Linked DNA regions of Schizosaccharomyces pombe. The protein of the gene in region 1 interacts with the protein of each later gene in a biochemical or structural test. Each region holds a gene or a part of one and is shown on either strand. Other genes may lie near its edges.

Evidence for each region.
Region 2: the proteins of psc3 (region 1) and psm1 form a complex in vitro, tested with the Schizosaccharomyces pombe proteins (one study listed by BioGRID).

Annotation. Positions count from the first base shown.
Region 1 is NC_003424.3:2,034,595-2,041,053, forward strand, and holds psc3 (mitotic cohesin complex non-SMC subunit Psc3), read left to right. Parts: upstream 1-1,700; 5' UTR 1,701-1,808; coding exon 1,809-2,073; intron 2,074-2,118; coding exon 2,119-2,231; intron 2,232-2,269; coding exon 2,270-2,365; intron 2,366-2,413; coding exon 2,414-2,823; intron 2,824-2,873; coding exon 2,874-4,473; intron 4,474-4,521; coding exon 4,522-4,926; 3' UTR 4,927-5,020; coding exon of another isoform or gene 5,021-5,291; 3' UTR 5,292-5,337; coding exon of another isoform or gene 5,338-5,706; 3' UTR 5,707-5,754; coding exon of another isoform or gene 5,755-5,810; 3' UTR 5,811-5,950; downstream 5,951-6,459. Other genes in the region: WD repeat protein Cdt2, read right to left, coding at 1-1,056; SPOM_SPAC607.02C (uncharacterized protein), read right to left, coding at 5,021-5,291, 5,338-5,706, 5,755-5,810; U3 snoRNP-associated protein Snu13, read right to left, coding at 6,342-6,459.
Region 2 is NC_003423.3:2,539,073-2,545,657, forward strand, and holds psm1 (mitotic/meiotic cohesin complex ATPase subunit Psm1/Smc1), read left to right. Parts: upstream 1-1,643; 5' UTR 1,644-1,670; coding exon 1,671-5,336; exon of another isoform or gene 5,337-5,382; coding exon 5,383-5,403; 3' UTR 5,404-6,085; downstream 6,086-6,585. Other genes in the region: histone H3-H4 chaperone, CAF assembly factor (CAF-1) complex subunit A Pcf1, read right to left, coding at 1-881; exonuclease I Exo1, read left to right, coding at 6,477-6,585. UniProt on the Schizosaccharomyces pombe protein: Involved in chromosome cohesion during cell cycle and in DNA repair. Central component of cohesin complex. The cohesin complex is required for the cohesion of sister chromatids after DNA replication.

The sequences.
Region 1 (6,459 bases):
GTCAGGAGAAGTACAAACATTAGTAACACCAAAATCGCGTTTTGAAGTAGTTAATTCGGGAGTAGTAGCAGCAGGTAAAGGTCGGACGGTATGTACAGTTCGTAAATCCCATAACTTTAAGGCCGAGTTTGCAGAGCAGGACGATATAACTTGCGAAGTAGATTGAGGGAGCCACGTAGCTGAGGTAATTGAGCAATCCCTTCCCGAATTTTCATGTGCTTTTCTTATCCTTAACACTGGTTTCTGAAAATGCTCACCGTCAATTGTTATCCCGTGTGTTCGCATATCCCAAAAGATAATGGAACCATCCCGAGAACAACTTACCAAATTATAAGGAGAATCATTGCAAAAATTAACCTGCTTTACTGAATGAGAGTGGTATCCATCGACACCTCGTCGTCCCAATCGAGTGATGCATTGTTGCGTTGACAAATCAAATACCTTTGATGTTTGATCGCCAGATGAAGTAGCTAATAATGAATCATCTTTAGAGAAATTAACACTAAATATAGCATTGTTGTGAGCAAGCCAGCCATGGATTCTTCGAGCAGACGGCTGATTTTCCTCATTCTGTCTATCGTAAAATCGAGAATCAAACAGCTCAAGAGCTCCAGTCTCAGTACATACGGCCAATAAAGACTCGTTATTAGCAAATCCAAGACAGAACGGGAGTTGGTTCAGCATCATTAAGCATTCCGAAGGTCGTGAGTAATATGTTTCGAGATTGAGTCTACCTCCCACATGACGAGAAGTTTTTGTGCTAAAAGGGTGCGACCGGGAACCTCCCAGTTGTCTGATTAAAAGTTCTTTACAAAGTTGAGCAGGTTTTTTTTGAATATGAACTGGCTTGTGTAACAGGGGTTTCTTTTCAAACACAATGCGTTTTCGAGGTGTTTCAATTTTTCCTCGGCTTTCTAGGAAGTCGTAAAGCTTATGTTTTTTGGAAGGTGCTGCGGGAGAAGAATCAGGAGTCGGAGGTAATGAGTTATTTGCACGTGAGGTAATATCTCGAAGCCCACCAACATCACTCAAAGCTTTTCCAATGTCCATATTCATGGTATAATCATGAATCTTAATTTAATCCGCTTTTGAGGTCGTGTGTTCCAGTTTAATTTAAGTAGTGGATGGTAGCGTGAGTATATTAGATTTTCGTGACGCGTGAACGCGACGCGTCCGTGATCCATCACATGCACCAAACGTTACCCAGAATATGTTAAAGTAACAAAACGCGTATTTCAAAGTCATGTTTAAGCATATTTGCAATTACAGATGGGTACAGCCTAAAATTCTTGAGGAATAAATAAAAAGGATAAAAGTTTTCTAATTACTTGTTAATTTTTCATAAAGGATGACTTTCGTATTTCTGCCTATGATATAATGAGCGCTCGAAAAGTTGTCAAATATCTCATTTATTAATAATAATCGAAAATATTACGCGTCAAAAGAATCTTTCACTCACAATTCTATACTTGTATAGTCAAATTACAATCTCAACTCGCGGAGTGAATATAAGTTAGCTGTTCACCTTGCAGGACCCAAAAGAAAATAGTATATATTTGTTTCAATCAAGGTAAAGAAAATTTTAATGTAATAACTTCGTTAAGTATAAATTTCCTTTCGTATCCTTGGATTTTCAAACACATTTATCCTGTCTAACACTATTGAACAAGACAAGTTCGTGCTTTTATCAACTACAGGTTGTGAACAACCTCCATTGTACAACACCAATAGTGCATTCATTACACTCTTTCCAATATTTCTAATTACACCTCTTAATTTATTTATAAATTATTTCTTTTTTTCTTCAAATGAGTGAGTCTGTTACTACTGGATCTGATGATGATGGAGGAGACAGAGAATCTTCCCCTGTAATGCTTTCTCAAAGTTTTGATCCCATGAGCAGTAGTTCAAATTCATCTTCTGAAGAAAATAGCGATGATGATTACGAGAAAACGATAAGCTCAAAAAAACGGCATCCACGGCCAAATTCTAAAGGAGTAAATGTAAAACGCTCTAGGAGGAACGCTATAGTTGAAGAGGATCCTCAAGAAGAAATTTTTAACAACTTATTTGGTAATGATAAAGTCCTTCTTTTTTTCAGCTACTAACACTGAAAAGCTTTTCTGCTTGACCAAAAAGTTGATACCATGGACATCGCGGTTTCGTGGTTTGCTGACTATGCAAAAGATAATCAATCTGCCCTTGCAAATCTTATTAACTTTATTTTAAAGGTAGAGTCATTCTTTTCTTTCTTTACTAAATATTTTAGTGCTGTGGTTGCAATCGTGCCATTAATGTGTTTGATGTTCAGGATCAAGATTCTGCTTCAGCTACTCTATCTCAAATTCAACTTTCTGTAGAGCGTGTAAGTGCTTTTGCGAAAATACTTTATTTGTATATTAACAACTTTAAGACTTCTACTCGTGATTATCCTTTAAATTCAAAAAATCTTAAGTTTAGGAATTTCAGAAAGAGATTGACCGGTCTTTTAAGCAACTTTGTGTCACAGTTGTCAATAAGAAATTACTTGTACAATAGCACTGTTTTTGAAGATATTATGTCTTGGGTCGTTGCCATGTCTTCTTCTACGATGAGACCTATTCGGCACACCGCCACTGTTTTCTGTTTGAATATTATGACTTTTTTATGTGAAAAATCTAAAGAACTATTGAACGAGCATGCAATTGCTACCAAACAGCTCGAGAAAGAAGAAAAGCGCTCTCGTGTAAATAGAAATCGCATCAACGAACTTAATAACAGTCTTGGTGAAATAGTCAAGCAACAAGATACATTGACTACATACTTAAATGACTACTTTGATAGGTAAAGATCCCTCAAACGCTTTAATTTATTTATACTAACCTTTATATTAGTGTCTTCGTCCATCGATATCGAGACGTGGAGCCTAAAATAAGGGTAGATTGCTTACAAGAGCTTGGGGTCTGGATTAATACTGTTCCAAGCATATTTTTTTCAGGAAGTTATTTAAGATACCTAGGATGGATGCTTTCAGACATAAACACTACCGTCAGATTAACTGTAGTTAAAGTTTTGCGCAAATTTTTTGAGACAGATTCATTTATTGGTGGATTAAGACATTTTTCTTCTAGATTTAAAGAAAGAATACTCGAGATGAGTTGTGTGGACGCCGATATTGGAGTTCGTGTAGCCAGCATTCGTTTGTGTAACGCTATGAGGACTTGCGGATTTTTAGAAAATTCTGAAATTTTAAAAGTGCTGAAGCTAATTTTAGATATCAATCCAAGGGTGCAACGTGAAGCCGTACTGTTTTTATGCAAAGTGGTTGACGAAAGTGTGAATGAAAAAATTGATTTATGGGGTGAAGAAGACTATATTCTAAAGGCCTTTTCTCAGACTTCACTTACTACATTTTCAGTTCATTGGATAAAATTTTCCCAAATGTGTAAACTTTTGGAGGAGGTTAGATTGTCTTACCAATCGAGCTTTGATTATGATACATTATTACGAATCTTCCAAAAAAATGGTAATTTCATTACTCCTATAACACAAGCTTTACTTAATGCATGTGAAATTGATTCAATCTATCAGTCATGGGAGGATATTAGCAACTTCGTACTTTTTGATAATTATACCTCGACTCTAAAAGATCCGATAGACAGTATACTTTCTTTCTGCAAGCTAAATGATTTTCAGGAATCTATTCTTTTACAGCTTCTCTCTGCTTCAATCCAAACTGTCTGTAATAACAATTTTATCACACCTAAAACGGTGCATAATAAGCAAGCGGCGGAAACGACCAACGATCAAAATAAAGATAAGGACTTACTTTATTTGAATCTTCTTCCTTACATTAATTCAATAACTGAGAGAAATTCTGCTTCACCAACACTTCTTCATGATTCTCTTCGTTTGTTATTCTCAATGGATTTGACAGAAATGACAGACCCTCAACTTTCCAGACATTTTGAACTTCTAATTAATAATTTAAAAAAATTTTTCCTAACCAATAATGATCTTCAAATTATTCAAGGTTGCACGATATTATTTTTACGGTTGGACTCTATTCCTGCTTTGAAAGAAGATTTGAAGCTTCTGGTTACTGACATTTGCGACCAGACGGTAACCGAATTTTTAAAGAATTTTGGATCTTTTAATATTCAAGATGCTGTAATAACAAAAGATGAATTTGTTATTTTTGAAGCTTGTTTAACAAGAATCGAGGGATGTACCTCTCTCAAAGATTTTTCTGACTATCCTGAGTTTGACATAATATATGAAAGGCTTGTTTCGCTTCTTTCGCGGGTTCCTAATAGCTATGAAGATACATTGAAGTTTTCTGCAATTAATACTTTACAGAGTCTATTGTTTTGGTTCTTTCTAAGGAAGGATAACCCTGCTGATGAGGAAAAAAAGAAGGATGATGAGACTAAAGTTTTTAATTGTTTGATTAATATTATGAATAATGACAGCTCTAAAATTTTGCAACTTCAGGTATACAAAATCAACTTATTATTTGATTTAAGAAACTAACTTGACCAGGCAGCCCGAACTTTTCTGGAAACAGTGATAATGAAAGAAGGTGTTAAAGCATCACATTACAACGATGACAATCGTGTATCTGAGGAGCATAACTTTTTAAAACCTCAATTTTTAGATGCTCTTTTAAAAATACTTGAGGGATGGTTATACACATATGCCAAAGTTGGTCAATTCCCCTTCAAGCGTTTGACTCAAGCAAGTTCTCCACATACACAAATTTCTTTGGACAAAAATCCACTTAATAGAAGGCTATTGGAACATGTATGTTGCGATTTGACTAGTAAATTATTAATAGTTGTTTCATTGTCAAATACGATAACACCAGAATTTTCACAACAGTTTTGTGAACTAAGAGGGCACTATGGACCGAAATTATCTGCTATTGTGGATGAGTTTTTGAATTAATTAAATTTAGATTTAATGCCTGCTGTATATTTAAAGTAATTAATTATTTTTAAGTCAGCATTAGAAATAAATTCTTTTTTCATTATTAAAAAGATTATTTCCGCTTGGTTTTCATTAATTCTCTATATTTCTCTATAAGTTCCAAACGCTGCTTTCCTAGAGCTTGGCGTCGTGCCATAGATTCTGTTTGACCCATATTATTAACTTTGGGAACATTTTCCAAGTACTTTGTCTCTTTAATTTTTAATTCCGGAAGTTCAGGAGGAGCTTGCACAGTTTCTCCAAAGGAAGGTTTTGTTTGTAAATTAGCCCACGGATCAGGCGAATTTTTTCGTTTTTTTCTAGACTCAATTTGGATAAATTGTCTAATATGTTAGTTTATACGAAATGAAATTGGTGATATACACATACCCAGTAGTATCCGCCTCCCATGTTTTATCTTCAAAATTTTCCTCAATTTCATTCCAGTCTCTTTCACGCTTCTCTTTTCTTTTCGCTATTTTTTTCTTTTCTTTTTTATCAGTAAATTCGTCTATTTTGCTCGGCCCAGACTTAAAAGATACTGGAATAGCCTTATTTACGCGCTGACTAAATTCACTAAGGCGTTCACCGGGTAATCTTTGAATTTTCCCATAATCTTTTTTTTTCTTATTTTTAAGGTTGCCTTTCTTTATTTCCTTCTTTTTAGATTCATGGTACTCTTTTTGCTGTAGCAATCGCTTGAATTGCTTTGGGAAGTTGTCATCTACACTTTCATCCTCCTTGGGAGCATGATCGAGTCTATTAACCAAATGTTAGTAAAAACATCTTGCTATAGAAATTTTTTACCCAATCTTTTTCCGTTCAGCCTCAAGAACGGACCTTTTCTTAGTCTTAGTAGGCATATTGCGCTTGGATAGTAAACACAAACGAGAAGCAAGTAATAAAGGAAAATAGCGAGCCTAGCTCGTATCGCAATTTAGATAAATTTGGATTTGTTTTAATAGATACTCATGGGATAACAGTAAAGTTTATTAATGAATACAAATATCTTTTTTTATTTTAGTGGACAAGCTGTAACGCTTTAGAGAGAAAAAATTTCAGAATCAAGTTGGAAGCAAGCTTAGTGAAGATACTTTTCGAATCATACACGAAAAATATATTAAAAAATATATATATCAAACACCAAATATACACTATCTTTATTAAAATCGTAATGCTCTTATATGTAAACACTCAACTATCTTTCTTGTTGAGTATTTTGCGAGCTAATTAATAAAAATTAAAATGACTACAAACAGAGTACTTGAAATTATATAGAAAGCGAAACAGTACAAAATTACAATAACAAAATAAAAAATTCGATAACAATCTGCTTCCATAAGAATCAAATTTTATTCTCGATTAAAAGAAAACTGTTCCCAAAATCCAAAAGTTTAGATGAGCAATTTCTCTATTGCCAATTTAATAGCTTGAATTTGAGGAAGTAAATCACTAGCCTCATTGGTAGTAATGCTGGCTGAAATCACCGGTCTACTTACACCACAAGCACGT
Region 2 (6,585 bases), on another chromosome or scaffold:
CAAGATAAAATTTCTTGAGGTTTTGAAACAGATGGATCTTGATATGCGCTCATTAATTGTCGAACCTCGTTTTCGGAATTTCTATTACTAACACCTAAACTGTTTGCGGAGCTTACAGCATCTGATGGTGTAAAAATGTCGTTTAGCTTTAAAGGATAAGATTTAGAGGTTGAGAGGACTTCATCCAAAAAAGAATCAGATTCGTTCGGAGATGGATATTTGGAAAGGGACATCTGATGCTTTATAAAAAAAGGGCGAAACTCTTTCTCAAACTCATTCAGTTCATCCGTTTTGTCAGCTACAAAATTTTCGTTTGGCGCGATTCGTTTCTCAACTCCTTTGGTGAAAAAGTTGTTTAACTTCAATTGTTGTCTTTCCTTATTAAGGATTTGTTCTTGACGAAGGCGCTGTGCTTCTTCTTTCTCACGAAGCTTTTGATCCCTCTCCTCCTTCCGCCTTTGTTGTTCCTGCAATCGAATCCGCTCCTTCTCTAATTTCTCTAATTCTTTCATTTTCTTAGCGGCGATTTTTTCCTGTTCTCTTAGCTTTTTCTCTTGCTCTCGTTGTTGACGTTCCTTTTCACGTTTTAAACGCTCTGCTTCTTTTTGTCGAATCCTTTCCTCTTGGGCCCGCTGTTTTTGAAGCTTCTTTTCTTTACCCGCTTCAGCAGAGCCATTATAAATTCTTTTCTTTCTATTACCCTCATAACTTAATTTGCAAACGTACTCATCAGCTTCACTTGCAGAGTGACTGGAATGAATAACCGATTCATTCGGGGAACTCACTGATAAAGACGTAATGTCAGTGGAAGAGCTACATAACTCATTTCCCTTATTACTAGTAGAGGCCGCGACATCTGAATCAACACTTTCACTATTCATAGACAATGCTGCGAATATCAATAACAAGCCTAAGGGAGGCTAAAAACCGTGCGTAAGTTGTTTTAACGGACGCTCTGATCGAATAAAGAGGATAAAGGAGAGTTCGTAAATTATATGTTAATATTCTATTATATACATCACTATCCCAAATCTGTCTCACCAATCTATTATTCATCCATCTTAACGCTTATATAATTGAATAATTTAATTCCTTAGTTCTAACAAGATATGTACTGATTGATCTGAGTAGCTTAAACATCAAAGTTTTTTGCGAATGGGTTAATATGGTGATTTGTTATATATTTTACCTGACTACGATTATATAATATTACTGCTACATTGCATTACGATATTAATGTTAATATTTTATGGCTCATCTATATTATGATTGAGTTAATATCAGTTGACGAGAATTTTCTTTGAAATTATTTGCCATATTTTTTAACTGGTGATTGGAGTACCACAAATTCATTAATAATGAAACAAACGGATGTTGTTATCATCAATTTTCTTCCTATTTATATGCAGCAAACTTCTTTCAATAACGATGCATCGTACATATATAGGCAGGGGCTATGCAGCTTAGAATAGTAATTCGCTGGAAGGATAATATCATAATAACGAGGTTCTTGTTACAGTGAATATCAAGTTGCACTATATATTATATCGTGGATTTCTGAAACTTTATGAGATGTAATCGTAATGAGTAGGTAACAATATCTAATCAAGTAAAGACGCGTACGCGAGTTTCATACACACCTTGTACATTCCTTTTACCAAGTTTTCCTAATGGGACGTTTACTAAGACTGGAAGTTGAAAACTTTAAGTCTTATCGAGGACATCAAATTATAGGTCCTTTTGAGGACTTTACCTCGATTATCGGTCCTAATGGAGCCGGAAAATCGAATTTAATGGATGCCATTTCTTTTGTTTTAGGGGTCAAGTCTTCTCATTTACGATCAACTAATGTTAAAGAACTGATCTATCGGGGGAAAATACTGCAAAGAGATAATACAGATTTCACTGATTCTAGTAATCCTACTACAGCATATGTGAAACTTATGTATGAGTTGGATAATGGGGAGCAAAGAGAGTATAAACGCGCAATCACTCCTTCTGGTGCTACTGAATACAAAATTGATGAAGAAATAGTTACGTTTTCTGAATACTGCGGATCTCTCCAAAAGGAGAATATTCTTGTTCGAGCTCGAAATTTCTTAGTTTTTCAAGGTGATGTTGAAACCATTGCTTCGCAATCTCCTTTAGAACTTTCAAAGCTTGTTGAACAAATAAGTGGCTCTCTGGAATATAAATCTGAGTACGATAAATCTAAAGACGAGCAGGACAAGGCTGTAAATTTATCTGCTCATTCGTTTAACAAGAAACGTGGTATCAACGCTGAGTTACGCCAATATCAAGAACAGAAAACTGAAGCCGAGCGTTATCAAAGTCAAAAAGAAAAACGAGACTCTGCGCAGTTAGTTTACCTTTTATGGAAACTCTTTCATCTAGAGAAAAGTATTAGTTCTAATATGGCAGAGGTTACTCGATTAAAGGCAGATTCCATTCAACTTATCGAAAGGCGAGATGAGAACACTAAAGAGATAGAAAAGTTGAAAGAAAAAGAGGGCAGTATACGAAGAAACCTTCTTGCATTCGATAGAAAAGTTCGAAAACAAGAAAAGTTGATTGCTTCGAAACGTCCAGAGCTCATTTCAATTGCCGAGAAAGCCCTAGAGTCTAAGTCAAATCTCCGAAAAATTCAAAGAAAAGCTGCGGAAATAGAAAAAGATTATTCTGACCAAGCTAGTACGTTACAAGTATTAGAAAATCAATTGACTTCACTCTCAGCTGCTGAAAAAGAGTTTTTAAAAGACATGCAGGAAAAAGAGCAACTCAAAGGGTTGCGATTGTTACCAGAGGATAAAGAGGAGTATGAAGGACTTCGAAGTGAGGCGGACAAATTAAACTCAAATCTATTGTTCAAATTGCAGACGTTAAATAGGAATATTAAAGTTACTTCTCAATCAAAGGATTCATTAACGAGCATCGTTGGAGACTTAGAGTCGAAGATTAAAAGCCTTCATGAAAGTGTTTCTTCTCTTGATACCGAGCGAGCGGATTTGCTTGCTAAAATAAATGAAAAGATTGAAAGTTTGGAACTTGAAAAGCATGATCAGCAGAAGAAGAGGTTGACTTATTCTGAGCTTTTTCATAAAACACAAGAATTAAATGAAGAGCTTCAATCTTGTTTACAGAAAATTTTAGAGGCAAGTGCCGACCGCAATGAATCCAAACAGGATGCTAAAAAAAGAGAAGCATTGTATGCTTTGAAAAGGATATATCCTGAAGTCAAAGGAAGAATCATTGACTTATGTACTCCTACTCAAAAGAAATATGAAAGCGCAATCGCTGCTGCTTTAGGCAAAAATTTTGACGCAATTGTCGTCGAAACGCAGGCAGTTGCTAAAGAGTGTATTGACTATATAAAAGAGCAACGCATAGGTATTATGACCTTTTTTCCAATGGACACCATAGCAGCCAGTCCCGTTAATCAAAAATTTCGTGGAACACACAAAGGCGCCCGACTTGCAATTGACGTTTTGAATTTTGAGTCTGAATATGAACGTGTAATGATTAGTGCAGTTGGAAATACACTCATTTGTGATTCAATGACTGTTGCTCGAGACCTTTCCTATAACAAACGTCTCAATGCCAAGACAGTTACTTTAGAGGGAACGGTTATACATAAAACAGGGTTGATTACTGGTGGATCTTCAAACAACCGGTCGGCGAAACACTGGGATGACCATGATTTTGATCTGCTTACTCAAACAAAAGATAGACTTATGCATCAAATTGGTGAAATAGAATATCAAAAGTCATCTTGTGTGATTACAGAAAGTGATACTGTCAAGTTGCATAGTCTTGAATCTGAGATATCTCTACTCAAAGACAAATATACAGTAGTTTCTAGATCCGTGGAAGACAAAAAAAAGGAAATTGGACATTACGAATCTTTAATCAAAGAAAAACAGCCTCACTTGTCAGAATTGGAAATGGAACTTCGCAACTTTGTTAAAAGTAGAGATGAGCTTCAAATTCAAGTAGAAAAGGTTGAGGAAAAGATATTCTCCGGGTTTTGCAAACGAATTGGGATAAGTGATATACATACTTACGATGAGATACATCGCACTTTTACTCAAAGTTTTACACAAAAACAACTCGAATTCACCAAGCAAAAATCATTACTTGAAAATCGTATTAGTTTTGAAAAACAACGTGTTTCAGATACCAGGTTACGATTAGAGCGTATGCATAAATTCATTGAAAAAGATCAGGAATCTATTGATAATTACGAGCAAAATCGGGAAGCACTTGAATCAGAAGTTGCAACTGCCGAGGCTGAGCTTGAATTATTAAAGGAGGATTTTGCAAGTGAGAACTCTAAAACTGAAAAAATTTTATTAGCTGCATCCGAGAAAAAGCTAGTGGGCAAACGATTAGTGTCTGAGTTAACAAAGTTATCAGGAAACATTACTCTTTTAGAATCGGAGATTGACCGCTATGTATCTGAATGGCACGCAATTTTACGAAAATGCAAACTAGAAGATATAGATGTTCCGTTACGCGAAGGATCTTTGACGAGCATACCTATAGATGATGTCTCAAACAGCGGTGATATCACCATGGGCGAAGAGCCGTCTGAACCAGTAATAAATTTTGAGAAATTTGGAGTAGAAGTGGATTACGATGAACTGGATGAAGAGTTACGCAATGACGGTTCTGAGAGTATGGCTTCTGTTCTTCAAGAAAAATTGAGAGAGTATTCGGAAGAGCTGGATCAGATGTCTCCTAATTTAAGGGCTATTGAGAGACTTGAAACAGTAGAAACTCGCTTGGCGAAGTTAGATGAAGAATTTGCTGCTGCTCGTAAAGCAGCCAAAAACGCAAAAGAACGCTTCAATGCCGTTAAGCAAAAGAGATTGCAAAAATTTCAAGCTGCCTTTTCGCATATCTCGGAACAAATCGATCCAATATATAAGGAACTTACCAAAAGTCCTGCTTTTCCTCTTGGTGGAACAGCGTATTTGACTTTGGATGACCTCGATGAGCCATATCTTGGAGGAATCAAGTTCCATGCAATGCCACCTATGAAGAGATTTAGAGATATGGATCAACTTTCTGGAGGAGAAAAGACCATGGCTGCTTTGGCTCTGCTATTTGCTATCCACTCTTATCAGCCATCCCCATTTTTTGTATTGGATGAAATTGATGCAGCTTTGGATCAAACCAACGTTACCAAGATTGCCAACTATATTAGACAGCATGCATCCAGCGGTTTTCAATTTGTTGTCATTTCCTTGAAAAATCAGTTGTTCAGTAAATCAGAAGCTTTAGTGGGTATTTATAGAGATCAACAGGAGAATTCTTCACGAACATTATCAATCAACGTAAGGGATTACTTTTTCTTAATTTTAAAATACTAACGAAAAACAGTTGGAAGGTTATGTGGAGTAAATGATAATATTAACCTGTGATATGCTGCTTAATGTCTGTGTTAATATATTCTAAGAATACTTTATGTTTAATAGGGATGGCAAATATATATTTGCGTAATTTATTTATTTCTAACGAATTTAATTTTAATTGTTTTAAGTTTCCTTCTATAATTGATCAAGGACTTTTTTAATTTACAACGCTTTTTCTTTATGTCCTTAATTGATTTTGTCTCTGAATTGACTGGGCTAATGATAGAAACATTAATTATAAGTCACAATTGTCAGCTACGTTTATGTTTAATCCCTAGTTTCAAGGAAGTTGGGTTTAAGTGAGGTTAATGTTTTCAATATAATTCCAGTAACGCAGTTACGCTTAGACGATTCGGCTCACCCCTTGACTGTTTGTTAACTAATGAATTTGGCTGCATACAATTTTGAGAAGTCTCTACTATTCTAGAAGGCTTTCTCCGGAAACTAACTATTGCATTTTCCTTTTTAGTTTAACAGTATTTGCAGTCACAAACTAGCAAGAATACTTTTAAGAATAAACGTTTTATTAGCGACGAATAGTTTAAAATATGTTTAAACCCAACTAGATGCTAACCGCACTACATTTTTAAAACCGCAGCTTATAGAACTTTAAAATATTAATTTTGCGCTTGAGTTTTCCTCATACAGCTAAATTCAATGATTTGGTAATGGTTGATTGATTCACCGTAGTCTTAGTTAACAATCACGATAGATTTCAAACAAAGAACTTTAAAGAAAAAAACTTACTTATAGTATTATCATGATTTTAATGATTTCGATTGAATAGATGTTTAGAAAAGAAGTACACCAGCATACTCAAACAATGATAGCCGGCTCCTTAAATTATTTCACACATAAACAATAACAAAGCCTTTTATATTTATCCTTTCTTAATGATAAAGTAAATTTTATACTTGTTCGTTTTGGGCCTATCGACTGCAAGAATATATTTGTTGATCAGATACACAACACACTTCCAAGGGTACTACGTTAAAACTGTTACAGAACCAACATCTCGATAACGCACCTGCATTCTTTTGGTGCTTGACGAATGCTTTAAACATGGGAATTAAAGGTCTTTTGGGACTTTTGAAGCCTATGCAGAAAAGCTCTCATGTCGAGGAGTTTTCTGGCAAGACTTTGGGAGTTGATGGATATGTTTGGTTGCACA